4 linked regions of the Struthio camelus genome follow. The protein of the gene in region 3 interacts with the protein of the main gene of each other region in a pairwise test. Links are inferred from orthologs where the notes say so. Each region holds a gene or a part of one and is shown on either strand. Other genes may lie near its edges.

The links.
Region 1: the proteins of CREB3L1 (region 3) and TMEM11 interact in binary tests that used the Homo sapiens proteins (3 or more experiments, as listed by UniProt). The two-hybrid records come from large-scale screens. The link is inferred for Struthio camelus from reciprocal best matches to the Homo sapiens genes CREB3L1 and TMEM11.
Region 2: the proteins of CREB3L1 (region 3) and FXYD domain-containing ion transport regulator 3-like interact in binary tests that used the Homo sapiens proteins (3 or more experiments, as listed by UniProt). The two-hybrid records come from large-scale screens. The link is inferred for Struthio camelus from reciprocal best matches to the Homo sapiens genes CREB3L1 and FXYD3.
Region 4: the proteins of CREB3L1 (region 3) and MFSD5 interact in binary tests that used the Homo sapiens proteins (3 or more experiments, as listed by UniProt). The two-hybrid records come from large-scale screens. The link is inferred for Struthio camelus from reciprocal best matches to the Homo sapiens genes CREB3L1 and SLC61A1.

Annotation. Positions count from the first base shown.
Region 1 is NC_090956.1:4,349,866-4,357,667, reverse strand, and holds the start of TMEM11 (transmembrane protein 11, mitochondrial), read left to right. Parts: upstream 1-4,724; 5' UTR 4,725-5,019; coding exon 5,020-5,087; intron 5,088-7,802. UniProt on the Homo sapiens protein: Plays a role in mitochondrial morphogenesis.
Region 2 is NC_090974.1:266,601-273,809, forward strand, and holds the start of FXYD domain-containing ion transport regulator 3-like, read left to right. Parts: upstream 1-4,191; 5' UTR 4,192-4,274; intron 4,275-7,209. Other genes in the region: sushi, nidogen and EGF-like domain-containing protein 1, read left to right, coding at 1,671-1,948, 2,058-2,058. UniProt on the Homo sapiens protein: Associates with and regulates the activity of the sodium/potassium-transporting ATPase (NKA) which transports Na(+) out of the cell and K(+) into the cell.
Region 3 is NC_090946.1:40,126,438-40,133,668, forward strand, and holds the start of CREB3L1 (cyclic AMP-responsive element-binding protein 3-like protein 1), read right to left. Parts: upstream 3,085-7,231; 5' UTR 3,023-3,084; coding exon 2,915-3,022; intron 1-2,914.
Region 4 is NC_090969.1:1,568,293-1,575,934, reverse strand, and holds the start of MFSD5 (molybdate-anion transporter), read left to right. Parts: upstream 1-4,555; 5' UTR 4,556-4,698; intron 4,699-5,690; 5' UTR 5,691-5,855; intron 5,856-6,453; exon of another isoform or gene 6,454-7,178; 5' UTR 7,179-7,231; coding exon 7,232-7,642. Other genes in the region: nuclear receptor subfamily 1 group D member 1-like, read left to right, coding at 208-393, 1,338-1,548, 1,631-1,827. UniProt on the Homo sapiens protein: Mediates high-affinity intracellular uptake of the rare oligo-element molybdenum.

The sequences.
Region 1 (7,802 bases), on a different chromosome or scaffold from region 3:
TATGTTGTCAGCAGTGCTCCTGGCGTGCTGTCTCTGAGCAGCTGCTAGCTCAGCCAGGGGGCTGTAGCCAGGCAGAAAGAGAGAAAGAGCCTTTCACCTGGAGGCCAAATCCAAATCTAGCTTATCTCAGTAGGGACTAAAAGTTGCAATCTGTGTCATGGACTGAATGAAGCCCTAGCCAAGAGACAGCTCGGCCCTCTCCCAGAGCCCAGGGCAACGTCCACGGAGGTAAAGGCAACAGCTCCTGCAACCTTTGCTCCCGGTTGGATCAGTAAGAGATGGGAGACCCATGTGCAGCCTCAGCCAGGGAGACGCCGGTGTGTTCTTCCCAGCTGCCCGGTTGAGACGAAGCCCCTGCCACCTGCCCTGCTGCTCTGGGGGGATGCCAGCCCTGGGCTCGCTCACGGGCTGCCCGCCACCGATGTGACACAGCCCACTGTGTGCAGGCTTGAGTAAAACCTTCCCAAACACCATCCCTGCCCTGCTGCAGGCTGTGAAACCCCCTGCCCATCTCAAGAGGGACCCATGCCCCACCCTTGAGGCTGGGCTGGGTGGCAGCCCCACCACTGGCTTGTGCTACTCAGAAGAAAGCATCGGTCTTCGGCCTTGCCTCTGCCTCGTGTTTCTGCCCTCTTGCTGCCTATTTCAGCCTGGCTTTTGCCTTTGGGATGTCTTAGAGGAGCTGGGATAATGTCATGGGTAGAGAACTAAAGAGAAGGGGCTCAAGAAGAAATCTAGCCTGCAAAATGCTAGCTCCTCAACAGGCAAAATACACTTCAACATCTAGTTATAGGAGCAAGGTTGGCTGTGTTGTAGCCAAGTAGTGACAGAACCGTTCCTGCTCTTGGTCCCAAAGTGAAGCTGAACCACCTCTTCTCCTGCAAGCAAAGATAAAAAGACACCACTGTATCTGCAGTGCAGCAGGGCTGGGTACTTGGAAGAGATCTCTTAGGAGCAATAGCGCGTGCCCAGTGCTGAAAGTCTCGGCCCTGGTTTTGTGCTAGTTTCCACTGTGACGGTTTCCAGCGTTGCCATGCTGTGTCTGCTGCGTGAAGATGGCTCACCAGAGATGTGCTGTGGTCACTGCATCGGCAGGGTCTACACGTCCAAGCCTAGCTGTGGAGCCCTTCGTGCTGTTTTGGCAGGAACCTCGTGCTTCCTGGCCCTGGATCATAAGTGACAATCACTGCCTTAAATCAGGCACAGCACGTGGTTTTGCTGCTGCTTCCCTTTGAGGTGCTACAGTCCCTTCAGTTTCTGACCTGACAGAGATGTTTGCCAGTGTCCGTGCCAACCATTTTACTGCTGTATCTGTCCTCCACCTTGGCCTTTCCTTCTCCATGGTCTCCAACATTGGCTAATAGCAATATCCACAGGTCACCAGCGATGCTGCAGTCCTCCACGCTCCTGTGATCTGGCACTGTCAGGTGGGAGATGGCTGGGGGCTCCCGTGGCATTGGACAGTCATCCCTCCTGCCTCTCTGCCAGCCGCCCTTTCCTCGCTCCTCCGTGCAGGAAGGAGCTTTCTGATCCCTCTGCTGCCTGGGGATGCTCCATGGTGCTGACTAAGCCTGGAAGAGTTGGGGATCCTGGACTCTCTCCGGCAATGGGAGTGTGGAAGTGATTTGGTTGAATATTGAGGTCCCCAAGCCCATTTGAACTATAGACTTTGGGAGGTGGGGAAATACAAATTGCTGTCAAACTTGCTTCCACATCGCCCAACTTGAACTCCTCCTTTCTCGTCTGCTTTCCAGAGTTGTCTTCCTCTGTCCAAGGTTTCCATTCTGTTGAATTCAGTGGTTACGATGTGCCTTTCCTTCTCAGGACCTGTTACAAATGACCTTTCTGCTTTTATTTGTCTAACATTTATCTTTATTCCTCCCTCTGTCATACATGAACATATTGCATGGAATACAATACAATAAAAAGTGTGACTTAATTGATCTGTAGTGGTTCACTGCTCCATGTGTGGTGGGAGGCAGGAGGATGTGCCCAGAGGACCAGGGAGACCTCTGGGCGTCCCCAACTCCATTACAGCTGGGCTGGGTCACTTCAGCAGAGAGCCTGTTTCACAAGCTCCTGCCAAATCACCCCAGAAACAAACAAATCCTCTAACAAATCTGGCCCTGAATCTCATAAAATATCTATTACACACATCTGTGTCTTGGAGAAGGTGAGAGAAAAGAAGTTGGCAGATGGGAGACATACTGCTCTGCATGTTTGTGCATGCAGCACAGATCAGCTCTCCCACTGCAGAGGACCATCAAGCCAAATCCCAGGCAAGTGTGAGATGCTCCCCTTGCATATGCATAGGGAGGCATGGGCTGAAACTATTATTATTTCAGGCCTTGTTGAGGGCTGGCTGACCCAGTGATGACTGTGTAGAGCTTGGGGCAAGTGGGATGCCAGCTGGTTCTTCCCCTTTGCTGGCCAATCCTCTCCTGCTTGCACTAACCAATCCTCCCTCTAGAGTTAGGGCCAAATAATCATCAGGAGTAATCCTGCAAATGCAGCCTCTTGTGAAGTGGCACTAAATGCTTGTGTTCATTGGTTTAAGATGTTGGAAAGTATTAAGGCTATTTAAATAGCTGGCAAGGGGAGTTTTTCCCTGTTGTGCTCATCCAGAGCAAGGCAGATGGACAGGTGACTCAGAAGAACACAAGGAAGTGCCCTCCTGGGGCCCCTGTGCTCCTAAGCCTGGGGAACACAGCTTGGGCGCTCATCACTAGGGCTCCCAGCTCAGTGAGCTTACGTTGCTTCCTAAAGCTGGGCGCAAGCCATAGAGGTTGAGGGCAGAGCCTCAATAGTTGAAAATCTCAGGGTTGGGGGTGGTGGGGGGAGCAGGGGCATGGCTTATTTACAGCTATGATTTGACCCAATGCGAAAGTGACGCGTGGCCCCTGGGTTGCAATTTGAGCAGGCAAGAGTTTGGGTTTTTGGTCCTCCCAAGACACGGAGCTGTGGCTTTGGGTTATAACACAAAGCTGGGCTGTTGCTAGCAACGCTCTCTGTTTACATTCCACATTCCAGAAAGTCCGATGCTCCGGCCTGCCCCAGCAATGCCACTGCTTGGCAGCACGCTCTGCCGCGCTGGGAGCGTTTCCCAAACACCTCTTGTTCGACAGGACCTAGCCAGGATGCAAATGCACCATTAAGCGCCTCTGAAAGAACTGAACCTCAAACTGTGGCTGAGAAAGCAGGGCTGCAGGAGAGCCCAGCAGCTTGGATGCGCAGCCTCGCTCTGCCCAAGAAGATGAAGGTAACCGCAGTTTTGCTCTCTTTAGTCGTATTACATTGCTTGTAGATGCTGTTATTAAAAAGGGCATTTTCTAGAAAGGGTAAGTACAAAGACAGCTTCACTTGTTTCTAAAATGCACTTTCAATCATTTCCCCTGCTCATCCCTGCTCTGGACACTGAAGTGCTCCCTGCCCCTTCTCCTTGGAGGTTTAGTGTCCCCTGAGCAACACCAAGAGAAGGATGTCTGAAACAATCGGGAGATGGGAAACGGCATGGGAGGAGAGAGTATCGGAGACAGGGCTGGAGGAGGACTGGTCGCGCTCCCCGGCGCTGGGCGCTGTCGGCGGGCAGGCAGGAAAGTGTACCGCTGGGACCAGGGAGGCTGCAGAGCAGGGGAGCAGCTGTTTGTTACGGGAAAACAAATTCCTGAGAGAAAAGCTCCTCTCCTTGGAGAAGTCACGGAAAAACCAAGAGCTAGAGTGCTCCGGAGAGGCCGGCCAGATCCCACCAGACACAGCAACCTAGGACCTAGGCACAGGTCCTGGGCGAGGCATGAAAGACGTCTGAGCCAGAAAGCGTGCTGTGCTGGGGGAAGGATCGCCAGAGGCTGAGGACAGGGTGGGTCCTGGGAGGCCTCCCCGAATCCTTCAGCTTTGGCCAGCTGCGGGATCAACAGGCGCTGGGTACTGTGGCAGCCGCAGGAGCAAACCTGCATTTTCTTTTCTAGTGAAGTTTCTGGGTGTAAAACGACTGTTATTCCTCTGGGTATGAGAAGCAGCAGTGGTGAAGTCCCCACCCCTGCTTCCTCTCTCAGAATCAATTAACGGGGATAGATTCACCCCAGCAAACCCCCGGCACCCTTCCCCAGGAAGACTCTGCTGCGCGGAGGTACCCCGGGAGGGCGAGCAGCGCTCCCCTTCCCCTCCGCCCTTCCGCCAGGGCCAACAGCTTGCAACGCAGAGCGGTTGCGTGAGGAGGGTAAAGCACAACCGACACCTTTTTTTGCCCGGGTGTTCGGGCCCGCTCTGGCAGATAAGCGCAGGGGTTTCCTTTCATTTCTCCCCCGCGCCGGAGCGCGAGGCGCGTGTTTCTCGTCAAGGGCGACAACAACGCGGCGCTCGGGCGCTGGAGTAACTTTTGTTGTCGCCAAGCCGGAGCGGGCCCTGCTCGCCCCGCGGCCTGAGGCCTGAAACCGCAGGGGCGACCCAGACTCTCAGGCCGGGCCCGGGCTCGAGCAGGGCAGGCCCAGCCGCGTCCCCCCACCACGGGGGCCGCGCCCCCGCCGCCCGGCGGGTGGGAGCCCGGCGCGGCGGCGGCGGCCGGGGCTGCGGCCCACCCGGCGCGGCAGCCGCAGCCCCCGCTCCCGCCCGCCGCTGCCACCGCCGCCGCCGTCCTCATGGCGGCGCCGCGGGGCACGCCGGGACTTGTAGTCGCGCTCCTCCCACGCCGGGCCCGTTGCCTGTGGGGCGGGCCGGGGGCCGGGGGCAAGGGGAGAGCTGGCGGCCGCGGGGTTCCTCTGCCTGCCCGCAGCCGCGTCCGGGCGGAGGGGGGGACCGCACTGCCTTGGCCGCCCCTTTGCTTGCCGAGGGGACTACACGTCCCGTCGTCCCCCGCGCGGCGGCGGCGGCGCGGGGCGTTGTGGGGGTTGTAGTCCGCGAGCGCGGGGCGCCCCCGCCCGCGGAGCGGTTCCGGCGCGGCTCGGCGCACTACATTTCCCGTCGGGCGGCGGGGCCAGCCCGGGCCCCTTTGGCGGAGACATTTGCGAGTCGAGTGTCTCCAAGATGGCGGCTTGGGGAAGGAGGCGCGCTGGCCCCGGCAGCACCACCAGCAGCGGCGGCGGCCGGGAGAGGTGAGCCGGGGCGGAGGCCGCGGGAGGTGGGAGCCGGGGCTCCGCGGGCGGGGAGGGAGCGGCGGGGAAGGCGGCCCCGCGGGGCTCCCCGCGACCCCCGGGCAAGGGCGGGGGCGCCCCGCTGAGGGGCGAACGGCGGCGGCGGTGCCGCCGCTGCTGAGGGAGGCCGGAGGGAGGACGGCGGGGCCGGGGCCTCCCGCGGCGGGCGGGACGGCGAAGGCGAAGGGGAAGGTCAACCCTTCCCGCGCGGGGATGCGGCGCTCGGGGCCGGCGTGGAGGAGGGCAGCCCCGGGGAGGCTCCTCGCGCGGCTATTTTTACCGGCCGCCCGGGCAGCGGCCAGTCGGCCAGGGTGACCTCCCTCCTGCTGTGGGGCTGCCGGAGCCGGGCCGGGCCGGGCCGCTCCGCGGGGGGCGTCTGGGTGCCTCGCTCTCCCTCTGCCTCTGTCGGGACGCGGGAGGAGCTGGGACGCGCTGGAGCTGCCTGCGGGGTAGCTGTGGAAGTTGGGGGAGCCTAAGTTTCAAAGGCAGGAGAAAGAGAGAGAAAAATCTCGTTGAGCTGCTTTAGAATCCGTGTGCACAGTTCTCTACCGACTTAAAATCAGCAGTTAAAGCTTGTATTTCATACGCTGCTATTTTCCCTGTTTTGCCCTGGGGCTGACTAATGTAACCAGAAGCTTCTGAAAGCGGCTGCGTTTTTATGGAGAACAGAAGTTTCCTTTTATTCTGCTGCTTTACCTAGAGAGTCTGTTTTCCCTGTGACTCTTTACTGTGGGTTTTGTTTCACCTTGCTCCCATGCTGTATTTCAAGAGTATTATTTTTTGATGGTACTGAAGCTATGCAGCCAAGGAGAGTCGCAAGCAGTACTTAAAATCCTAGTGCCAATGCGAAATGCAGGAATGCTGTCTGTGTTCAGGGAATTTAGAAGTAATTGAATTGGAAGAGCTGATGGAATTACCGCATCAGCATAGTTTATATAAACAACTAAGAATACCAGGGAGCTCGGTGGCATAGTGGTAAAGCTGTCTGCAGCCAGTGCTGACGCCTGCCCCAGAACTATACACATGAAGAGCTTTCATCTGGCAGACCTTGCCTCCCAATGGAAGTGAAGAAAAAACGTGAAGAGTACTGTACTTCAGTGAAAATTATCCTGCCAGGATGAAAATTCGTGCAGATTTAAAAATGAATTTTTACTGTGTAACTTAATCTGTGAACTATACAATAATCTGAAGTAATTGAAAGTATTTTAGCTATGATTATTCTTCATCTTATGATCAAAAATACTTATTCATAAACATGAGTTACCTACTTCACTGACCTTCAGTGTATATTAGCTTTCCTTTTACAGTGAGAAGTATGTAGCTGTATGTAAGTAAGGACAGACGTCCTTACAAGACAATAGCTGATCTGTGACTATGATACACCATTGACCAGTGCCTTATGATCCTATCAGAAGATGCTTGTTCTGTTAGGTGTCATGCCATACGAACCTAGCACGAGATCATACTTTTAATGAGTGTCAGGTGATGTCACTCAGGTAGTACTTGTTCCTTGCAGTTGCGAAGCTGGAAATGCACGTGACTGGGCCTCTGTCTCTCTTGATCAGTGTCTAATCCTAAATCATACCAACCAATCTCGTTTGGCTGCTGGCAATGCAAGTTGTGTAAAAAGCAAGGCTGACAGAGCTGATGTCATCAAATGACGACATATGCTTTTTATATAGCAAATACAGTTTTCTTACGCTGAATAGGATTTTTGTCCAAAGACACATTCCTTCAAACTGAATATACTAATCCAGCTTTTTCATAAATGAGCTGCTTCAAGGTATTTTTGTATTTGTCCGCCAGCTAGTCTAAAAAGATCTCTGTTGCGAGGTAGCGTCAGGGGACTTGGTAGTGAATAAAATACTGTCTGCTGTTAGGCTAGACTAGCTTTCATTTAAAAAAAAAAAAAAATCCAGCAACTATATCTGTGGAGGCTGCATCCTTTTGTAAGTGACTTTATTGATAAAAGGGATTCTGTAATTGATTGAAAAGTACTTTTCTGACTAGGAATAAATGTAAAAATATTAATTTCAAATACTATTGGCCATGAATTTTAATTTACTCTCTGGTGGTGAAATAATAAGGTTAAAAAGAACAACCCAAAGCACTGAAAAGAACCCACTAAGTACTTATTTTTTCTTCATTCTGGATAGACTCTTTAATGGAGACTGTCTAAAGGGAATTGTTAATCTCTAAAGCAAAACAACTTTTTATACAGAACAGACACTGAATTGTACTTGGAGTTGATGCGTAAAACTCAGCACGATGACCGTCAGAACACAAAACAGAATGCCACTTGTTCCCTGAGGAGATGTTCTAACAAACTCCAGAAAGAACAGCTTTAATGTCATCACCACTAACTTACATTGGCTTCTCTGCACCCTTAAAGATCTCTCCTTTCACTACCAGTACTGCTCAGATTTCAGGTAATCTGTTTGCTTAGAGCAATGATTGACCTGTTTCCATTGGGCTGGCTAATCATTAGTTGACTTAAAATTGACGCGCCTCTTTGCTCTGGTGGCTGGTGTATTTTTGTTATGGCCTGGTTGCGTTTTCCTTGGTAGATGTTGTCTTCGTTTGCCAAGACTGTTTGAAGATCTCACCTATGTTCTCCAGTTCTTCTCCATTTGTATTGAAGATGCACCTTTTGGTTGGAGATCCTGCTTTATTTTT
Region 2 (7,209 bases), on a different chromosome or scaffold from region 3:
GAGGACACCCTCCTTGGTGGCCACCTCCATGGGCAGAGTGAAGGGGACATGGTGATGGGACACCCTCCTTGGTGGCCACCTCCATGGGCAGAGTGAAAGGGACGTGGTGATGGGACACCCTCCACGGTGGCCACCTCCATGGGCAGAGCGAAGGGGATGTTGCAAGAGGACACCCTCCATGGTGGCCACCTCCATGGGCAGAGCGAAGGGGACATTGCAGCAGGACACCCTCCTTGGTGGCCACCTCCATGGGCAGAGTGAAGGGGATGTTGCAGCAGGACACCCTCCTTGGTGGCCACCTCCATGGGCAGAGTGAAGGGGACATGGTGATTGGACACCCTCCACGGTGGCCACCTCCATGGGCAGAGTGAAGGGGATGTGGTGATGGGACACCCTCCTTGGTGGCCACCTCCATGGGCAGAGCGAAGGGGACATTGCAGCAGGACACCCTCCTTGGTGGCCACCTCCATGGGCAGAGCGAAGGGGACATTGCAGCAGGACACCCTCCTTGGTGGCCACCTCCATGGGCAGAGTGAAGGGGATGTTGCAGCAGGACACCCTCCTTGGTGGCCACCTCCATGGGCAGAGTGAAGGGGATGTGGTGATGGGATACCCTCCTTGGTGGCCACCTCCATGGGCAGAGTGAAGGGGACGTTGCAGCAGGACACCCTCCATGGTGGCCACCTCCATGGGCAGAGTGAAGGGGACATGGTGATGGGACACCCTCCTTGGTGGCCACCTCCATGGGCAGAGTGAAGGGGACATGGTGATGGGACACCCTCCATGGTGGCCACCTCCATGGGCAGAGTGAAGGGGACATTGCAGCAGGACACCCTCCATGGTGGCCACCTCCATGGGCAGAGTGAAGGGGTGTGGTGGCAGGACACCCTCCTTGGTGGCCACCTCCATGGGCAGAGTGAAGGGGATGTGGTGATGGGATACCCTCCTTGGTGGCCACCTCCATGGGCAGAGTGAAGGGGATGTTGCAAGAGGACACCCTCCATGGTGGCCACCTCCATGGGCAGAGCGAAGGGGATGTTGCAAGAGGACACCCTCCATGGTGGCCACCTCCATGGGCAGAGCGAAGGGGACATTGCAGCAGGACACCCTCCTTGGTGGCCACCTCCATGGGCAGAGTGAAGGGGATGTTGCAGCAGGACACCCTCCTTGGTGGCCACCTCCATGGGCAGAGTGAAGGGGATGTGGTGATGGGACACCCTCCATGGTGGCCACCTCCATGGGCAGAGTGAAGGGGATGTGGTGATGGGACACCCTCCATGGTGGCCACCTCTATGGGCAGAGTGAAGGGGATGTGGTGATGGGACACCCTCCACGGTGGCCACCTCCATGGGCAGAGTGAAGGGGATGTTGCAGGAGGACACCCTCCTTGGTGGCCACCTCCATGGGCAGAGTGAAGGGGATGTGGTGATGGGACACCCTCCACGGTGGCCACCTCCATGGGCAGAGTGAAGGGGATGTGGTGATGGGACACCCTCCACGGTGGCCACCTCCATGGGCAGAGTGAAGGGGATGTGGTGATGGGACACCCTCCATGGTGGCCACCTCCATGGGCAAAGTGAAGGCGTCTCGGCCCTGGGACATCCCCGTAGCCAGCCAGGGGAGGGTGGCCAGACCACGGGGACACCTGTAGCACCCGCGGGTCCCTCCAGGTGGGCTTCAACAGCGGCGACGACACCCACTACTACAACGTGCTGGGCTCGCGGACGCCGGCGGTGCTGCACGTGGGGCGCACCTCCAACGTGGGCGTCCCCGGGCGCTGGGTCTTCCGCGTCGACGAGTTCACGGCCACCGAGGGGCCACCACCGGAGACAGCTTGGGACACCCAGGGGACACCCCGGGCCACCGACAGGACGCCCGGGACCACCCAGACGACAGCCAGGGCCACCGAGGAGACATCGGAGGAGGAACCCAGCTACATCTGCGGGTGGTGGGTGGCCTCCGAGCCCGGACGCCTGGGTCCCTTCTCCGGGGCCGAAACCCGGACGCCTGGGCCCCCTGACACCCGCTTTTTGTCCCCCTCCACCCCCTCCCCGCAGACGGTGAAGGCGACTCCACGGGACCCGGCGCCAACCCAACGCGCAATAAAGAGCCGCCGGGCAGCCGGCGGGCGCAGCGACACGCGTGTGCGTGTGCCGGGGCACGGCCGGGGTGGGGGGCACCCTAATACCCGCTCCCCGGGCACCCTAATAACCCCCCTGGGCACCCAATAGCCCCCTGAGCACCCTAATAGCCCACCTGGGCACCCAAATAGCCCCCTGAGCACCCTAATAACCCATCTGAGCACCCTAATAACCCCCCTGAGCACCCTAATAGCCCACCTGGGCACCCAAATAGCCCCCCGGCCACCCTAATAACCCATCTGAGCACCCAAATAGCCCCCCAGACACCCTAATACTCCCCTTGAGCACCCTAATAACTCCCTGAGCACCCTAATATCCCACCTGGGCACCCAAACAGCCCCCCGGGCACCCTAATAGCCCCCTGGGCACCCTAATAACCCCTTTGAGCACCCTAATAACCCATCTGAGCACCCAAAGAGCCCCCCTAATAACCCCCTGAGCACCCTAATATCCCACCTGGGCATCCTAATAGCCCCCTGGGCACCCTAATAGCCCCTCTGAGCAACCTAATAACTCCCTGAGCTCCCTAATATCCCACCTGGGCACCCTAATACCCCCCTGAGCACCTTAATAACCCATCTGAGCACCCCAAAAGCCCCCCAGGCACCCATATAACCCCCTTGAGCACCCTAATAACCCCCTGAGCACCCTAGTAGCCCCCCTGAGCACCCTAATATCCCACCGGGCATCCTAATATTCCCCCTGGGCACCCTAATAGCCCCTCTGAGCACCCAAATAGCCCCCCGGGCACCCTAATAGCCCCCTGAGCACCCTACCCTGGGCACCCTAATAGCCCCCCTAGGCACCCTACTAGCCCCCCTGGGCACCCTAATAGCCCTCTGAGCACCCCAATAACCCCCCTGAGCATCCTAATATCCCCCTGGGCACCCTAATAGCCCCCTGAGCACCCTAATAACCCCCTTGAACACCCCAATAAACCCCCTGGGCACCCTAATAGCCCCCTGAGCACCCTAATAACCCCCTTGAACACCTTAATAAACCCCCTGGGCACCCTAATAGCCCCTCTGGGCACCCAAACATCCCCCTAAGCATCCTAATATCCCTCCAAGCACCCTAATAACCCCCTGGGCACCCAAATACCCGCCATGGGCACCCTAATAGGCCCCCTGAGCACCCGAATAGCCCCTTGGGCACCCAAATATCACCCCCTTGAGCACCCTAATATCCCACCTGAGCACCCTAATATCCCACCTGAGCACGCTAATAACCCCCAAGGCACCCTAATATCCCCCCTGAGCACCCTAATAACCCCTTTGAGCACCCTAATATCCTACTTGGGCACCCTAATATCCCCCCCGAGCACCCTAATAACCCCCCTGAGCACCCAAATAGCCCCCTGAGCACCCAAATAACCCCCTTGAGCACCATAATAACCCATCTGAGCACCCTAATAATCCCCCTGAGCACCCTAATAAGCCATCTGAGCACCCTAATACCCCCTTGAGCACCCTAATAACCCCCCTGAGCACCCAAATAGCCCCCTGAGCACCCAAATAACCCCCTTGAGCACCATAATAACCCATCTGAGCACCCTAATAATCCCCCTGAGCACCCTAATAAGCCATCTGAGCACCCTAATACCCCCTTGAGCACCCTAATAACCCCCCTGAGCACCCAAATAGCCCCCTGAGCACCCAAATAACCCCCTTGAGCACCATAATAACCCATCTGAGCATCCTAATAATCCCCCTGAGCACCCTAATAAGCCATCTGAGCACCCTAATACCCCCTTGAGCACCCTAATAGCCCCTCTGAGCACCCTAATAGCTCCCTGAGCACCCTAATATCCCACCTGGGCACCCTAATAACCCACCTTGAGCACCCAAATAGCCCCCTGAGCACCCTAATATCTCTCTGAGCACCCTAATAAGCCATCTGAGCACCCTAATACCATTGGGCGGGGGAGGGGGGGGGTCCTGACTCCTACCTCCCCCCACGCTGCCCCCCCTCCGCCCCTTCCAGGTGCAAGCCCCGCCCCCTTCCCCGCCTAGGCCCCGCCCCTTTCTCCCCGGCCCTGCCCCCTGCCCCGGGGGGCGTTTGCCTGGCCACGCCCCCTCCCAGGTGCGGCCCCGCCCCCTCGCCTTCCAGCTCGACCGTTGCCGGTGCGGGCAGGTGAGTGGTGGCAGCCCGGACGCCTGGGCCCCTTTTGGAGGGGGGGGGGAGGGGGAGGTTCTGGACGCCTGGGCCCCTTTTTGGGGGTGAGGGGTCCCAGACGCCTGGGCCCCTCTTGAGGAGGGGTCCCCGGACGCCTGGGTCCCTTTTGGGGTCCCCGGACGCCTGGGCCCCTTTTGGGAGTGAGGGGTCCCGGACGCCTGGGCCCCTCTTGAGGAGGGGTCCCCGGACGCCTGGGTCCCTTTTGGGGTCCCCGGACGCCTGGGCCCCTTTTGGGAGTGAGGGGTCCTGGACGCCTGGGCCCCTTTGGGACCGTCCCCGGACGCCTGGGCCCCTTTTTGGGGGTGAGGGGTCCTGGACGCCTGGGCTCTTTTTGGGGTCCCCGGACGCCTGGGCCCCAAGAGGGGAGGGGCGGGGGGGAGGGGACACTAGGCAGGTCCGGGACCCCCCCCCCTCCCTCCTCCCCCAACCCCCACCCCCGAAGGGACCCAGGCGTCCGGGGGCCGGTGGCACCGCCTGGTTCCTGCCTGTCTTATCTGGGGCCAGGCTGTGCCGGGAGAGGGACCCAGGCGTCCGGGAGCAGCCCTGCCTCCCCCCCCATCCCCCCCCTGCCAGACTTGAAGGGGCCCAGGTGTCCGGGTGCCCTCTCAAGGGGCCCAGGCGTCCGGGTGTCCCCCCCCCCCTTTCCAAGGGGCCCAGGTGTCCGGGTGCCCTTTCAAGGGGCCCAGGCGTCCGGGTGTCCCCCCCCCTTTCCAAGGGACCCAGGTGTCCGGGTGTCCCCCCTCTTCCAAGGGGCCCAGGCGTCCGGGTGCCCCTCCAAAGGGACCCAGGCGTCCGGGTGTCCCCCCTTTCCAAGGGGCCCAGGCGTCCGGGTGCCCCCCAAAGGGACCCAGGCGTCCGGGTGTTCCCCCTTTCCAAGGGGCCCAGGTGTCCGGGTGCCCTCTCAAGGGGCCCAGGCGTCCGGGTGTTCCCCCTTTCCAAGGGGCCCAGGTGTCCGGGTGTCCCCCAAAGGGACCCAGGCGTCCGGGTGTCCCCCGCTTTCCAAGGGGCCCAGGTGTCCGGGTGCTCTCTCAAGGGGCCCAGGCGTCCGGGTGTCCCCCAAAGGGACCCAGGCGTCCGGGTGTCCCCTCCTTTCCAAGGGGCCCAGGTGTCCGGGTGTCCCCCCTTTCCAAGGGGCCCAGGTGTCCGGGTGCCCCCCAAAGGGACCCAGGCGTCCGGGTGTCCCCCCCTTTCCAAGGGGCCCAGGTGTCCGGGTGCCCCCCAAAGGGACCCAGGCGTCCGGGTGCCCCCCTCCTCCAAGGGGCCCAGGCGTCCGGGTGCCCCCCCCCGCAAAAGGGACCCAGGCGTCCGGGGATCCCCCTCCCCCCAAGGGGCCCAGGCGTCCGGGTGCCCCCCCCCCCCCGCCCTTCCAAAGGGCCCAGGCGTCCGGGCTGTGACTCACCCTGCCTTGGAGCTAGAAAGGGCTCAGGCATCCGGCCCCACCCAAAAGGGCCCAGGCGTCCGGGCCAAAACCCCACCCAACCCTGGAACTCGGAGGGGCCCAGGCGTCCGGCCCCACCCAAAGGGGCCCAGGTGTCCGGGCTGTAACCCCTGCCCGGGAGCTTCAGGGGACCCAGGCGTCCAGCCCCCCCCCCCCCATGCTCTCCCCAGAAGGGGCCCAGGTGTCCGGGTCTCCCCAACCCCCCACCCCACCCCAAAGGGGCCCAGGTGTCCGGGGACCCCCCCAATATTCCCCCCCCCAAAGGGGCCCAGGTGTCCGGCCCCCCTCCACCCCTAAAGGGGCCCAGGCATCCGGCTCCACCCAAAGGGGCCCAGGCGTCCAGGTCCCCCCCCCGTCACCTCCAGAGGGGCCCAGGCGTCCGGGTCCCCCCCATCACCTCCCGAGGGGCCCAGGCATCCGGGCCCCCCCCCGTAACCCCCCCCACAGGGGCCCAGGCGTCCAGGTCCCCCCCATCACCCCCACAGGGGCCCAGGCATCCGGATCCCCCCACCCGACTCCCCCAAGGGGCCCAGGCGTCCGGCCCCCCCCATATCCCCCCACCCAAAGGGGCCCAGGTGTCCGGGTCCCCCCCCCCCCAAAGGGGCCCAGGCATCTGGCCCCCCCCATCACTTCCCAAGGGGCCCAGGTGTCCGGGTCCCCACCCCACTCCTCCAAGGAGCCCAGGCGTCCGGGTCCCCCCCATCACCTCCCGAGGGGCCCAGGCGTCCGGGTCCCCCCCATCACTTCCCGAGGGGCCCAGGTGTCCCGGTCCCCACCCCACTCCTCCAAGGGGCCCAGGCGTCCAGGTCCCCCCCATCACCTCCCGAGGGGCCCAGGCGTCCGGGTCCCCCCCATCACTTCCCGAGGGGCCCAGGTGTCCCGGTCCCCACCCCACTCCTCCAAGGGGCCCAGGCGTCCGGGTCCCCCCCATCACCTCCCGAGGGGCCCAGGCGTCCGGGTCCCCCCCATCACTTCCCGAGGGGCCCAGGTGTCCCGGTCCCCACCCCACTCCTCCAAGGGGCCCAGGCGTCCGGGTCCCCCCCATCACCTCCCGAGGGGCCCAGGCGTCCGAGTCCCCCCCATCACTTCCCGAGGGGCCCAGGTGTCCCGGTCCCCACCCCACTCCTCCAAGGGGCCCAGGTGTCCGGCCCCCCCATATCCCCCCACCCCAAAGGGGCCCAGGTGTCCGGGTCCCCCCTCATATCCCCCCACCCCAAAGGGGCCCAGGCGTCCAGGTCCCCCCCCATATCCCCCCACCCAAAGGGGCCCAGGTGTCCGGGTCCCCCCCATCACCTCCCGAGGGGCCCAGGCATCCGGATCCCCCCCCCACTCCCCCAAGGGGCCCAGGTGTCCGGCCCCCCCCACCCCACCCCTAAAGGGGCCCAGGCATCCGGCTCCACCCAAAGGGGCCCAGGCGTCCGGGTCCCCCCGTCACCTCCAGAGGGGCCCAGGCAT
Region 3 (7,231 bases):
CCTTTGCTGCTGGCATGTTTAGCTACTCTCCGCCAAGACCCCTGGTTAGTCCATCCCAGGTGCAGGAAATTGCATTTGTCTTTGCTGAATTTCATGAGGCTTCTGTCAGCCCATTCCTCTGGCCTGTCTGGGTCCCTCTGGATGGCAGCTCCCAGACTTGTTCAAACCAATATTTTTTTTTTTTCTTTTTCAAGCACATGGACCTCTTTAAGGATGCATCAACAGATGTGCTGTCATTACTTCGGTTTGTCACACCTTCAAATGAACAATGCAGAGAATCTTTTTTTAAAGGACATGATGATTAGTTAAGAATGCTAGCATTCAAGAAAGGAGAGTAGTTCAGAAGAATGTAATTCTCATCCCAAATGAGCACAGCCTCATCAGTAGGGAATATGAAGGTTCATCCATCCTTTCTTTCTTTCTGCTTCAATTCTGAACAGAAGAAATCTTCCTAAGAAAAAGTTTCATACTGGCATTTTATGGCCAAAATTCCTGTTTGAAGAAAAATACTTGCTGAACAATATCTGGAAATGTTTGTTCATCTTTGAAGCAAAGGCACTGGCAGCCTTTGAGCACTACTGTGCATGGTGATGCTCTGCACAGTTCTGTGTAAGAAGATCTTCTCGAAAGATTTCAAGATCCCATGAGAATTGCTGGATTTAATAGCAAAATGTAACTGTATTCCTTTCCACCATGTTATCATGCAGAACTGGAACAAAGAGGGTGATATATTATGTTCTGGCTCATGTATCATCAACAGATTTGATAGCTGAGCAACAGCTACAGAATCTCTTCTATTTATCATACACAGGAAGACAAGGTATCAGCTTGACTCTCATACTCCAGGGAAGTTTATGGTGCTGGCAATTGGGAAAAAAAACCAAAGCATTTATTTTTCTACTTGTAAGTTGAGCACAACAGTGCCAGAGTCACTGCAACCTAATGAAAGTGGAGACCAGAGCAGGCAACTTTGAGAAGCAGCATTGCAAGCAGAAAGGCCATTGAAATCAGGTAGGAAAGAGCCAGCCTCTTCATGATCAGTGTATACTTTAAAAACACTGTCCTGGCAGGTGGCACCAGATGGCACTCTTACACAAAAGCTTCTTTTTCGCATGGTCTGCTTGCACACAGAAGATATATTCAAACTATAAGGAGGTACCCTGTGTGTTTTAAAGGGGTTCCCTGCCTTCTTATTGCAGTCCATGTTGGACCTATATAAAAGGACTGATGTTACGCCCTATTATTTTCATGTAGGTAAGGGAACGGTCCTGGCATAAAGCACTTCTCTATCAGCACAGCTTCATCCACTTTGGATGTAGATGGAGTTAGGGAAAACACAGAACTCATAACAACAGGTCTTTCAGCTGTGAGCAAACAAGGCCTCACAGTGCGAGCAAGCATTCAGTCTCAGGGTGACTTGCCATCGGCAGTTCTAGAACAAGGCGAGAGTCTGCTGCCTCCCGTAGTCCCCAACTGGCATCAGTCCCTGAGGCACAGCAGCGTCTTGGAAATTAGGAGTTGGTGAGATTTCTGAGAGACAGGATTGGCTGCTGATAATCTCTCTTACAGACCCACTGTGTCTCCACACACCAAGTGTGGTACACTTAACATATATGCAAATTCTGCTTCTCTACTATCTCCTTCATAAGGGAGGCAGCATAAAAGGAAGGGCTTCAGGCTTCTGCTTAGGAAAGCAGAAGAGGATTTATCAGGTGCTTAATGGCTATAGCCCCCCTTTCCCTGCCCCCTGCTCCTGTGTCATAGTGCTGGCATCACCCCTACTCCCATTGCAAGGCTAGTGCTCAGAGATGCTCACAGTGCTGCGCTGAGAGCACAGGAGGTGCCAGTATTGTGGCAAGGGAATAACAAGTCAGGGCTAAAATCTCTCTGCCTGGAAGCTTGGTCTGTGGCAGGCACACTGTCCCGTGGCTGAGGCTGCTCGGAGGCTGGGGGAGCCCCGAGTGCAGGCAGTGCCTCTCTGCCGAGCGTGGGAGGATCCCCCACCTTCACCCCAACCCATCCATGATGTGAGACCCTTCCCCTTCCTCATCAGGGCAGCATCCTCCCTGGTAGAGGGGCAGCAAGATTTGCAGCACAAATTTCCACCAAAGACACAGCTCCCATTGCTCAGGCAGGACAGCAAAGAGCCTAGGGGCAGCGTTCAGGGAGCTGCCGGACTCAGGACTCGCATGACTCCACAGAGAGGCTGGGCAGTTTCCTTAGAGGTGAACAATGCCCCTTTGGTTTCTTGGGACCGGCAATACATTTTTCTCCCAAGTCACTCTTCCCCCTCACTCTTCGCTCCAAAGTAAATCCTCCCAGCTTTAACAGGCGGGAGATGCTTCATCTCCCAAATGCCACTCCGCAAAGAAGTTATAACCACATGAAAACAGAGGCGTTGAGCCGAAAGGTCTCCCGACACCACCCGACCGTGCGTGCCTCCCGCGCTGTCTGAGCCGAGCCGCGGCAGGTTGCGCGCTCCCCCTCGGACCGCACGCCTCTCTCCAAGGCAGGAGTCCTTGAAAAGGGCATGTTAGGAAGAATCGGTCCTCTTCCGGCGGGTGCCTGTGGCGGGCAGCGCCGGGGTACCGCGCTGCAGGATGCCTGCGGGCAGTGGGGCGCGGGGCTGGCCCCGGGAGGCGCTGGCCGTGGGCGGCGGGAGGGCCGGCAGCCCGGGTACCTGCCCGCCGCGCGCCGGGGCGAGCGCGCCCGGTGCGCGCAAGCCCCGGGACAGGCACCCGGGCACACGCCGCCCCGGGAGCCGGCTGCGCCGCGAGAGAGGCGCCGAGCCCCGACGCGTGCCCCGTCCCAGCTGCGGCGGGGCCCGCCGGGACACCCTGCCGGGGCGGCCGCCCCCGCCGGGGGCACCGCGCGGGGGCTGCCGGCGGTCGCCGCCGCCCGCTGCGCCCCTTACCACATTGCTGAGGAAATCCGCCTCGCTGAAGTCGCCGAGGTCGAGGAAGCCGGGGCCGCCGGCGGGGAAGAGCCGCTCGGCGGGGAAGGGCTCCAGGATACTGTCCATGGTGCCCGCGGCGGCGGGGCGGCTCCGCGGCTGGCCGCGCTCCGCCGGCCGGGCTCACTGCGGCGCGGCGCGGGCAGGGCAGGGCACGGTCCCGCCGCCCAGGGGCCGGCGGCGGTCCATGGGGCGGCGGGGCCGCGGCCGGGGGCGCGGCGCCGCCGCGGGAGCGAGCTGCCAGCGGGGGGCCGGGAGCGCCGTGCCGGGCCGGGCCGGGCCGCGCCGGGGTCCCGCTCGGGCCAGCTGTCAGTGGCCGGCTCCGGAGGGGCTCGGCAGGCTGCACCGCCCGGCCGGCCCGGCACGCCCCCGCCTCATGAATAGGGAAGCGGCCGCGGGGCGGGACTTGCCTCGCCGACACCCCCTTAAGGGAGCGCGGCTGCCGCCGGGCAGCACCCTCGGCCGGGCCCGCTCCGCCGCCGGGCGCCGCGCTGCAGCCCCCCCCGCGCCCGGCAGGGCATCCCCCGCCGTGCCCCCAGCGTCTGCCCGCGATGCCCCCGCTCACCCCCCCGCGGGGCCCCGGGAAGGGATCTGGAGTGCAGCGAGGAGCAGGCTGGAGGCAAGGTACCAGCCAGCCTCCTCCTGAGACTCCCCCATCTGCCCCAGGACACCAGTGACTAGTGGTGAGGGGCTGGGTGACCCGCTGCCATGCTCAGAAGGCCCTGGGCCACCAGGACCACCGGGAGGGCAAGACCTGCAGCTGCCCGGGGCTGGCTGGGCCACCAGGCCCTGGGGCTGCCTCGCTGCTCCCCGGACAGCAGCGGGTGCCTGAGGGCAAAACAGATCCCCAGCAGTGTGATTTCAGTTTGGTGAACTGAGCAAACCCTCCCTTTAGCAGATCCAGAGATACCACTGCAAGCTGATAGGCAATGGCGGTCTGTGGCGGCCCCTGAGTATCCCTCAGGGAGCAGAGTCAGAAAAGATGGGTCTTCAGAGAGCTCAGTTCCTAAAGTGCAGCCACAAGCCCTGCAGGGAGATCTTCTTGCCATGGCTCTCAATAACAGGCTTGCAGGTGGGCCTGGCTGCAGCAGCCCATCCGACTGCTCTGTAATTAAGGAGCTTCAGGAAGATTATATGGCTTCAGATAAATAGGATTATGGATCCCTGTCCTCTCAGATCCTTATTCCAACCAACACTCAAGAAAACCACTTATAATAATCCTGTTGAAGAAACTCTGATGTTTTATTAATCTGTTCCTGCCTTCATGGCTCCACGAAGGGTGGCCAAGAGTCCCAACTCCCAGCAGTGGCTTTCTTGATCACAAGCATATGGATTAAAAAAAAAAAGACAACAGTGCATCTCTCCTGGGAGAAATGTAGCTAGAAGTTGCCAACAGTGAGGGTCACTGTGGGGAAATGCAGTTCTGAGGCTTGCTGGGGCCTGTGTCTGAACCAGACGCTAGGTTTCCACTGTGTGGCCCTCATGGGCTCTTGCCATGTTCCACAAAGACCTTAGGACTATCACCACTACCCTAGACACTCCTTGGCTGCTCATCACACTAGCCTCCACGTGCTACCTTCCCCACATAAAAGCCTTTATACTGGTACACACAAAGGGCTCTTTCAGTTACATTTACTTTTACCTTATGTTTCAGTCAAGTGTAAAGAGCCTTCAGGTAAAACGGCCAAAGATATAAATTCGGCCAGGATGGAACTGTGCTGCTGTTTTCACAAAGTCAGTTAATTTCTTACGTATATGAGGGAGGAATGGCATTTGGAAATCATCTTCTAAAGAGAGAAGACACTTGCAGTTTCTGCAAAGCAGTACTTGGATCCTATTGCAATAAAATGCTGGGAACAAAACAAAATACGTCTTCTCTGTGAATAGGATCAATGCAGGCCCTGCTCTCCCATCACTTTGATGGGGCATCATGAGCAACTCACACTCTCACGCTTCTGGAATGGCATAGCCATCGCATCCTGATCCCTCATGCTCCAGTGTACCACAATAACTGTCCAATCACTGCCATTAAACAGATAAAATAATGCTGTTCTCACCGGACTGTTCCTCTTTCCTTAATGGTAAAGAAATAGCTTTGTCAACAAGGGAGCCAGTGGGTATAAAGCTGGAAACATAGAAACCTTTACCACTGTAAGATGAGGAGAAGAAATGGGTCCAGACCCTTCAGAAAGCGGTGAATCTCTATCTCCAAGGAAGGTGACAGACATATTTCCTTAAACTTAACAGTTAGAGGAATTCTCAGTTCTGGTGGGGTAGAAGGACCAAGGACTGCAATAGTAATGGTGTTCCAGATGAGGGTCAAGGTGCTACAACGCTTTGTTGTAGAGCTACAACAGGGGAAGCTTCCACCACCTGTCACTAACCAAACACGGATATCACTTCCGTAACTGCTAAGATTTACCAATGAAATTAAGCGTTTGTGGTTCAGGGCCTCACCCAAGTTAACACAAGGAAGCAGGAGAAGTCAAGGCATACACTGTATTTATCCTCAGTGCAGGCAGAGGAATCTGAGACGGTGAGTTACAGCAACTGTTTGCACTGAATGGGTGGCGGTGTCATCAGAAAAGGTCAAGCAAAGTAAACCTGACTTGTTTGTCTGCATTGTAAAGGGAAAATGCTTTGGCACAGTCCAACAGGAGTTCTGTGAAGTCTGCCCTAAAGATTCAAACATCTCAAAAATATGAAATTGTCTGTTCTGAGACCCTGTTTGTATTTCATATATTTAGTACTGAACATAAATGCCTCAGACTCGGTCTACTGAAGCTGTTGCTGTACCTCTGCAGGTGAGGAATGATTGTAACAAATCTTCCTTTTCAATATCTGCACTGCAAAGCTAGTCTGTCCCATCCTGAAGAACTGTGAAGGGAAACCCCATCTCCAGCACTTTTATGAAGCTTTGCAAGAGACAAGTAACACTCTTCCCACGTTAGACATGAGTGCAGTCCAGTAAAGGCAACACAAGCGTAGTTACCTCTGCGTTCAGTGAGAATCACTGCTGACCCTTTGGAGCCAAAAAGGAGAGTTATTTCTGCAGACTAGCAGTTTTGTATTCCAAAAGAGACCTGAGGATAAAGAAAGTGTTGATGGGGTGAAGGGAGATAACCAGAATTCAGAACGATCTGGTGCACCTCACTGGGGTGTACACACTGAGGGCGAGGAAGGACAGGCCGAGTAGCAGTTCTGTGGAAGAGGCCTGGGAACTATAGGGCTTGCAGCGCTTGAACAAGTGTTAACAGTGTCTGTAGCTGTGAAAAAGCCAAGTGCCATGCTGCGATATAAATGCAGAAACCCTCCTACAAACCTTTAAGACATATAAGAGCTCCCCTTCTGCCCTGCAGAGTAGTGGTGCAAAACACAGTGTTAGCCAGAACATCATATCCCTCTGGGCTTGCACACCTCGAGGAAGGTGGGACTAACGGGGCAGAGTCCAGAGGAGGGCACTGAGAACAACTGGAAGTCTACAAAAAAACCTGAGAGAACTGAGCTTCTTTTGTCTAAAGAGAAGAGTCTCATGCCAGCAGTCTTTAGGCATTCAAACAATTGTGGGAAAGAGGAAGGCAATAATTTCTCTCCATTGCCACAGTGAAGGGGACAAGCAGTAACAGACTCACATCCTAGTAAGGAAACTTCAGAACAGGTCATAGAAAAAAATACCTAATGGCAAAAATAGTGACTAGGTGCCTGGGAGGTGGCAACGTCTCTACCACTGGAGCTTTTTTAAAAGCAAGTTCTGCAGACATCTCTTGGGACATAAATATCGCCGATCAACATCCACCCTTCGGGCAGGGGCTGAATCACATGATCGCTCAAATTCCTTTTCAGCCCTATTTTATCTGATTTTATATTTAGGTTTATTTGCAATCTGATCACAGAAAGATTCTGAAAGAGCAACCAAGTATGTTTAGACTGAACAAGCCCCAAACTGACCACAAAGAGGCCCTCCTGGCTTTGCAGCATTTGATACTGCAAATGCACATATATGACCAAGATCATTGCTGATAATGGAATAATCAACCAAATTTTCATAACAAAAGGATCCTACTCTTCTGTGCTCCGTTCTGCCTTGTCTTGCTGCTGCTGCTTTCCTTTATACCTGTGAAGAGAGAGAGAGTAGGAAATGCAAGTCCCTCATCATATCACTTTGCGCTCACTTTGCCTTCACTCTGCGCTGTGGCGGGCAACGCATACAAGGCAAGGGAACCAGACTCTGAGCTTGAACATGTGCACAGCGATCCAGTCCATTTTGCAGCCCACAAA
Region 4 (7,642 bases), on a different chromosome or scaffold from region 3:
GGACGGGCACCCAGGGGTCCAGCCACCCCCCGGACCCCTCGAGATGGGCACCCAGGGATCCGAGACCCCCCCGGACCCCTCGAGATGGGCACCCAGGGATCCAGCCACCCCCCAGACCCTTCGAGACGGGCACGCAGGGATCCGAGACCCCCCCGGACCCCCTCGGGACGGGCTCCCAGGGGTGGCGGGGGCTGACGCGGGCCCCAGGCCTGCCCGCTGAACCGCAGCCCGTGGTGCGGGGCGGGCGGCAGCCGGCAGCAGGCCTGGCAGGACTTCTCGCGCTGCTTCACGCCCGCCGTCACCGAGGTGGTGGAGTTCGCCAAGAGCATCCCGGGCTTCCAGGCCCTGGGCCAGCACGACCAGGTGCTGCTGCTCAAGGCCGGCACCTTCCAGGTGAGCGCGGGCAGGCCGGCGGGCGCCGCGGGGCGGGCACGGCTCGGGGGGGCTGCACGCGTCTGTCTGTGCGGGCAGCCCGGCGCGGGGGGCACGCGCGTGTATGCGCGTGGCGCTGCCCTGGGGGCGTGCACACGCATGTGTGTGTGTGCATACGTGTGTGTGGGCACACATGCATGCACAGCGCTGCCCTGGGTGCGTGCATGGTGCTGCTGGGGGTGTGCATGTGTGTGTGTGTGCGCACGTGTGTGTGTGTGTGCACATATGCATGCACAGCGCTGCCCTGGGTGCATGCACGGTGCTGCTGGGGGTGTGCGTGTGTGTGTGTGTGTGTGCGCACGTGTGTGTGTGCACATGCATGCACAGCGCTGCCCCGTGTGCATGCACAGCGCTGCCGGGGGTGTGCGTGTGCACACGTGTGTGTGTGTGTGCACATATGCATGCACAGCGCTGCCCTGTGTGCATGCACAGCGCTGCCGGGGGTGTGCGTGTGCACACGTGTGTGTGTGCGTGCACATATGCACGCACAGCCCTGCCCCGTGTGCATGCACAGCGCTGCCGGGGGTGTGCGTGTGCACACGTGTGTGTGTGCGTGCACATATGCATGCACAGCGCTGCCCTGTGTGCATGCACAGCGCTGCCGGGGGTGTGCGTGTGCACACGTGTGTGTGTGTGTGCACATATGCACGCACAGCCCTGCCCCGTGTGCATGCACAGCGCTGCCGGGGGTGTGCGTGTGCACACGTGTGTGTGTGCGTGCACATATGCATGCACAGCGCTGCCCTGTGTGCATGCACAGCGCTGCTGGGGGTGTGCGTGTGCACACGTGTGTGTGTGTGTGCACATATGCATGCCCAGCCCTGCCCTGTGCATGCTCGGGGCGGGCTGGCACGTATCTCCGTGCCTGCGCCCGGCACCCACGCCGCTGCCGGCCCTCTCCCCAGGTGCTGATGGTGCGCTTCGCGGCGCTCTTCCACCCGGCGCAGAAGGCGCTCACCTTCCTCAGCGGCGACACCTACTCGCTGAGCAGCCTGCGCGCCCTGGGCATGGGCGCCCTCCTCGACGCCATGTTCGACTTCAGCGAGAAGCTGGCGGCGCTGGCGCTCGACGCCCAGGAGCTCGCCCTCTTCATGGCCGTGGTGCTGCTGTCGGCGGGTGAGCGGGGCCGGGGCGGCGGGGCTTTCGGGGCCGGGCGGCGGGACGCGGCGGGTGCTGACGCCCGTCGTGCGCCCCGCAGAGCGGGCGGGCATCGCGGCGGCCGAGGCGGTGGAGGCGCTGCAGGAGACGCTGCTGCGGGCGCTGCGGGCGCTGCTGGCCCGCCGGCGCCCCGAGGACGCCGGGCTCTTCGCCCGCCTGCTCCTGCGCCTGCCCGACCTGCGCAGCCTCAACAGCCAGCACGCCGAGAAGCTCCTCGCCTTCCCCATCGAGCCCTGAGTCCCCGGTCACGGCTGCGCCCCCTCGGGGACTTCCACCCCCCCCCCAGTCCTCCCGGGGGGACGGGGACGCCCCCACCGCCTCGGGGATGCTCCGGGGATGGGGACGTCCCATGGCCTCGGGGATGCTCCAGGGATGAGGATGCCCTGGGGACGGTGATGCCCCACGGCCTTGGAGATGCTCCAGGGATGGGGATGTCCTGGGGATGGGGATGTCCTGGAGATGGGGACGCCCCACCACCTTGGGGATGCTCTGGGGATGGGGACACCCCATGGCCTCGGGGATGCTCCGGGGATGAGGATGCCCTGGGGACAGTGATGCCCCACGGCCTTGGAGATGCTCCAGGGATGGGGATGTCCTGAAGATGGGGATGCCCCATGGTCTCGGGGGTGCCCCAGGATGGGGACGGCGGCACACTGTGGCCTTGGAGATGCTCCAGGGATGGGGATGTCCTGGAGATGGGAATGCCCCACAGCCTTGGGGATGCCCCAGGGACAGAGACACCCCAGGGACAGCAGCAGCCTGTGGCCTTGGAGATGTTCCAGGGATGGAGATGCCCCACGGCCTCCAGGATGCCCCAGGGACAGGGCCGCCCTGGGGACAGGGACGCCCCACAGCCTCGGAGATGCTCCAGAGATGGAGACGCCCCATGGCCTCGGGGACACCGCCAGGGACGGGGACACCCTGGGGACAGTGGCACCTCGTGGTGTTGGAGATGCTCCAGGGATGCAGATGCCCCGGGGATGGGGACGCCCCACAGCCTTGGGGACACTCTAGGGATGGGGACGCCCCATGGCCTCGGGGACATCCCCAGGGATGGGGCTGCCTTGGGGATGGGGGCACCCCAGGGACAGAAGCAGCCTGCAGCCTTGGGACATCCCGGGGACGGGAACGCCGCCAAGGATGGGGCACCCTGTGGCCTTGGGGGTGGCCCGGGGATGGGGATGCCCCTGATGACGATGGCACTCCGGGGAGGGTGAGGCCCTGCGGCCTCGGGGGTGACCTGGGGATACCCCAGTGACGATGGCACCCCAATGACAATGGCATCCTGGGGATGATGGTACCCCAACAACGATGGCCCCCCATGCCCTCGGGGACACCGTGGAGATGATGGCACCACCGGATGGCAGTGACACCCTAGGGGACAATGACACCCTGATGGCGATGATGCCCTGTGGCCTCAGGGACACCCCAGGGGCCATGTCACCCCGATGGCAACAGCACCCCGATGGCGGTGGCACCCTGATGAGGATGGCACCCTCACGATGGTGGCACCCCGATGACGATGGTGCCCCAGGGACGATGGCACCCCGGGGATGATGGCACCTCGATGATGATGGCCCCGTCCCCGCGGTGCGTCCCCCTCCCCTCCCGCCTGCCCTGCCTCAGCCCCAAGGCCAATTTGGGCCGTTTTGGGGCTTTTTGGAGCAAGCGGGGCTCCCGCTCCCTCCCTCCCGCCCAGGTTTGGGGCAGGGAGGTCCCCGAGCTGGCTGAGGGACCCAGGCATCCGGGCCCTCTGGACACATATCAGGGCCGGGAAGGGGGTGGGGGTGGGAGGGCGAAACTTTGCACTTTGGGGCTGGGGCACCGCTGCAAAAGGTTTATTTTTTGTCTAATCTTGAAGTGCAATAAAGGAAATAGTAAACGGAAAGTGGCGGAGCGCTGGGCTGCGGCTGCGCGAGAGGGCCCCCGGCCACCACCCCCCGGCCACTGCCCCCCGGCCTCTCACAGCTGCCCCATACCCCCCAGGGCTGCCCATAGCCCTGGCAGATGCCCCACAGCCCTCACAGCTGCCCCACGGCTGCCCACGGCCCTCGCAGCTGCCCCATGGCCACCCCACGGCCCTCGCAGCTGCCCTACAGCCACCCTGCAACCCCCACAGCTGCCCTAGAGCCCTTGCAGCTGCCCCATGGCTGCCCCACGGCCTCCACAGCCCCCCCACGGCCCTCGCAGCTGCCCTACGGCCACCCTGCAACCCCCACAGCTGCCCTAGAGCCCTTGCAGCTGCCCCATGGCTGCCCCACGGCCTCCACAGCCCCCCCACGGCCCTCGCAGCTGCCCTACGGCCACCCTGCAACCCCCACAGCTGCCCTAGAGCCCTTGCAGCTGCCCCATGGCTGCCCCACGGCCTCCACAGCCCCCCCACGGCCCTCGCAGCTGCCCTACGGCCACCCTGCAACCCCCACAGCTGCCCTAGAGCCCTTGCAGCTGCCCCATGGCTGCCCCACGGCCTCCACAGCCCCCCCACGGCCCTCGCAGCTGCCGCACGGCCACCCTGCGGCCCCCATGGCTGCCTCACGGCTGCCCTGTGCCCCCCATGGCTGCCTGGTGGCCCCCCCAGCCCCCCCCAGCCGCCCCACGGCCACCCTGCGGCCCCCACGACCCTTGCGGCTGCCCCACAGCCCCCACAGCCACCCCACAGCCCTGCCACAGCGCCCATCAGCCCCGCAGCTGCCCCATGGCTGCACCGTGACTGCCCTGCGGCCCCCCCGGCGGCCCCCCGGCCCCCCGGCCGCCATGACAGGCTTCGGCCTGGCCCCCTGCAGCCCCCACGGTCGCCATGGCAACGGTGGGGGGGGCGCAGCACCATGGCGATGGCTGGTGTCTCATCCCCGTCTCCCCCCACCAGGGGGTGGGTGGGTGGCCTGTTATTTTGGGGGGAAGGCTCCGTTATTTTGGGGGGGGGGGGCATAGGGGAGAGGTCAGGCCGGGCGGGCGGGGCGAGCGCAGGGCCCGCGTCACGTGACGCCTGCCAAGATGGCGGCGGCCGCGGCGGCTCCGGCCGCGGCGACGCGGAAGCGGAAGCGGGTGCGCGCGGGCGCCGGGAGCGCGCGGCCTCTCCCCCCGCTGAGGGGCAGGTGGGGTCGGGGGGTGAGTGTGGGGCCGGGGGGTCAGTGAGGGGCCGTGTGGGGCCGGGGGGTGAGTGTGGGGCCGGGGGGGGTCAGTGAGGGGCCGTGTGGGGCTGGGGGGTGAGTGTGGGGCCGAGGGGGGGTCAGTGAGGGGCCGTGTGGGGCTGGGGGGTGAGTGTGGGGCCGGGGGGGTCAGTGAGGGGCCGTGTGGGGCTGGGGGGTGAGTGTGGGGCCGAGGGGGTCAGTGAGGGGCCGTGTGGGGCTGGGGGAGTCAATGTGGGGCCGAGGGGGTCAGTGAGGGGCCGTGTGGGGCTGGGGGGCTCAATGAGGTGCCGTGTGGGGCCGGGGGGGGCTCCGTGAGGGGCCGTGTAGGGCCAGAGGGGGTCAGTGAGGGGCCGTGTAGGGCCAGAGGGGGTCAATGAGGGGCTGTATGGGGCCGAGTCAGTGGGGACACTGCAGGGGCCCAAGGGGCTGTGTGGGGCCAGCTGGTGGGGTCACCGAGAGAGGCCCTATGGAGCTGTGTGGGGCTGGAGGCTGTGGGTCCCTGGGAGGGGCTCAAGGGGACTATGGACTGTAGGGTTAGATGGGGCTGAGAGGTCACTGAGAGGGGGGGCTGTGGGGCTGGGGGGTCACTGAGAGGGGGGCTGGGGGCCTCTGTGGGAGGGGCTGCCTGGGAGGGAGCCGTGGGGTCAGTGGAGACATACAGAACAGGGGCTGTGGGGTCTGTGCAGTGGGGACGTATAGATCCGGGGGGCTGTGGGGATGTATAGGGCAGTGGGGGGGGGATGACTTGGGGGGCCTTAGGTAGGGTGTGGGGAGGGGGCTGCCAGGGGCAGAAGAGTGACATGGGGCCAAGTTTGGGGGGGGGGGACAAAAAACCCAGAGGTGCCTTTTGGGCACGAGCTGCCCCAGGGGCTGCAGGGGCTGGAGCTGCCGTGGGCTCGGTGGCTTTGCCTGGGGCCGCCCATGCTCAAAACTTGCGGCCACTCACGGTCTTCACCCGTCTCCCGGCAGCAGGGACAGACCCTCACCCTGTTTTCTCACGCCCCGGGATCAGGGGGACGTCCGCTCTGGCAGGACAGCGGCTCACGGCGGGGGCCTGGCATCTCCGGGAGCTGGTTGCAACCCATAGGACTGTCCGGATGCTGCGGGGCTTCCCCTGGAGCAGAGACCACCCAGGTGAGCTGGGGACAGGTGACAGGGTGAGACGGTGGTGGCCCTGGCTGCCTGCCCAGCCCTGCCCTGCGACTACACAGACCTGTTCGCCTTATTTTATTTTTTTTTTTTTTAAGTCACCTGGAAAGATTCGGCTGCAAGGCAGCAGCGAGGAAGATGTGAGGGGCAGGCTGGAAATGAGGATTAGGGACAGGAGCAGGGGACAGCCTCTGTAGTGCCTGGGGACAGGCAGGCTCTGGACATAATACAACTGGGAAACCAGAGGTTTTAGTTTTTTGGATTTTTTTCTTAGGCTGTTTTAGCACTTCTGTTCAAACACTTGGTTTAGGAGTGAAGCCAAACCCTTGACAGACAGATCCTGGATCTCGTCAGTCCTCCCGGCATATCACGTGCTTTTTCTTACCCTGAGGACTATCCCATCCCCATAGAATGCAAATAAAACAGGATGTGACTTTATTTTTCCTGCTATTAAACAGCTTTTCTGTTTGCAATTTGCCCTGAACCCCTTGGCTTTCTGGGTAGGCACAGGAGAGTCATCAAAGAGTCTGAAACCAACTGTGCTGCCAACGGCCTTGTTCTCACTGCGGACCGCTTCTTCTAGGGCTTGTGCTCACGGCGCAGATGGGAGCAGGATGGGGCTGGCGCCATGGGATGAGCCACAGCCGAGCCCCAAGGGACAGGCTGGGATGGCAGGTCACTGTGGGGAACGCTGCGGATGGGGACTGTAGCTTCACCTCCTGGCAGAGAGGCAGAAATTAGTGTACAATGGGGTGGAGGGTTGAGGCTTGGCTGGAGGTGGAGCTGTCCTTTCCTCCGCCTCTGCGGATCGGCTTGTCACTGGGGAGCAGAGGTAGAGGGACAAGGAGGCTCCTACGAGCGATCGCGGAGGAGCCGCAGGATGGGCTTTGCACTCTCCATTTCTGAGTGATGGCACTTCTGGTGTTGCCTTTATGGAGACCAGTCTGTGACCTGGCAGACCAGTGTCCTGTGGAGTTTTTCCTGCTTCTCAGACCGAGTTTCGTAACTGCTTCGCTCCACCCTGTGGCTCTGCAGTAAATGCAGCCCTTCCCGTCTGCCGCAGCCCTTCCCATCTCCCAGCCGGAGTCAGCTCTGCCTGCGGCTTGTGTCCTCATGGGCATCTGACCCAGGGTCCAAGAGCTTTGAGGGCTGACAGTTCAAAATCAGCTGCTGAGGAAGGACGGCCTTGGGGTGCCCAGGTGTCCCGGCTTGCGTGGGCAGAGCAGCAGAGCGGTTGCTTCGGGGCCACTCCTGCAGAACAGTGCACCTCCCATCCGGATGTCACGGCATTTTCTTCTCCTCTCTCAGGAGCTTCGCGGTAGCCCTCTCTCCCAGAGATGCCCGTGACGCTCTGAGGCACCATGCTCTTCACCGCCTATGCCGCCTTCGCCGTCCTCTTGGCCGTATGCTTGGGCTTGGAGTTCTCCGCCTGCCGCTCCAAGCTCACCGGTAGCGCGTGCACCAACCCGGCTTTCCTCCAGTTCCAGCGGGACTACTACCAGGTGTATTTCCTGGCTCTGGCCGCCGACTGGCTGCAGGGCCCCTACCTCTACAAACTCTACCAGCACTACCGCTTCCTGGAGGGGCAGATTGCCATCATCTACGTGTGTGGCTTTGCCTCCAGTGTCCTCTTTGGGCTGGTCTCTACGTCCCTGGTGGATTGGCTGGGCCGGAAGAAATCCTGCATCCTCTTTTCTTTGACCTACTCGGTCTGCTGCCTCACCAAACTCTCCTGGGATTACTTTGTCCTGGTGGTCGGGAGGATATTAGGC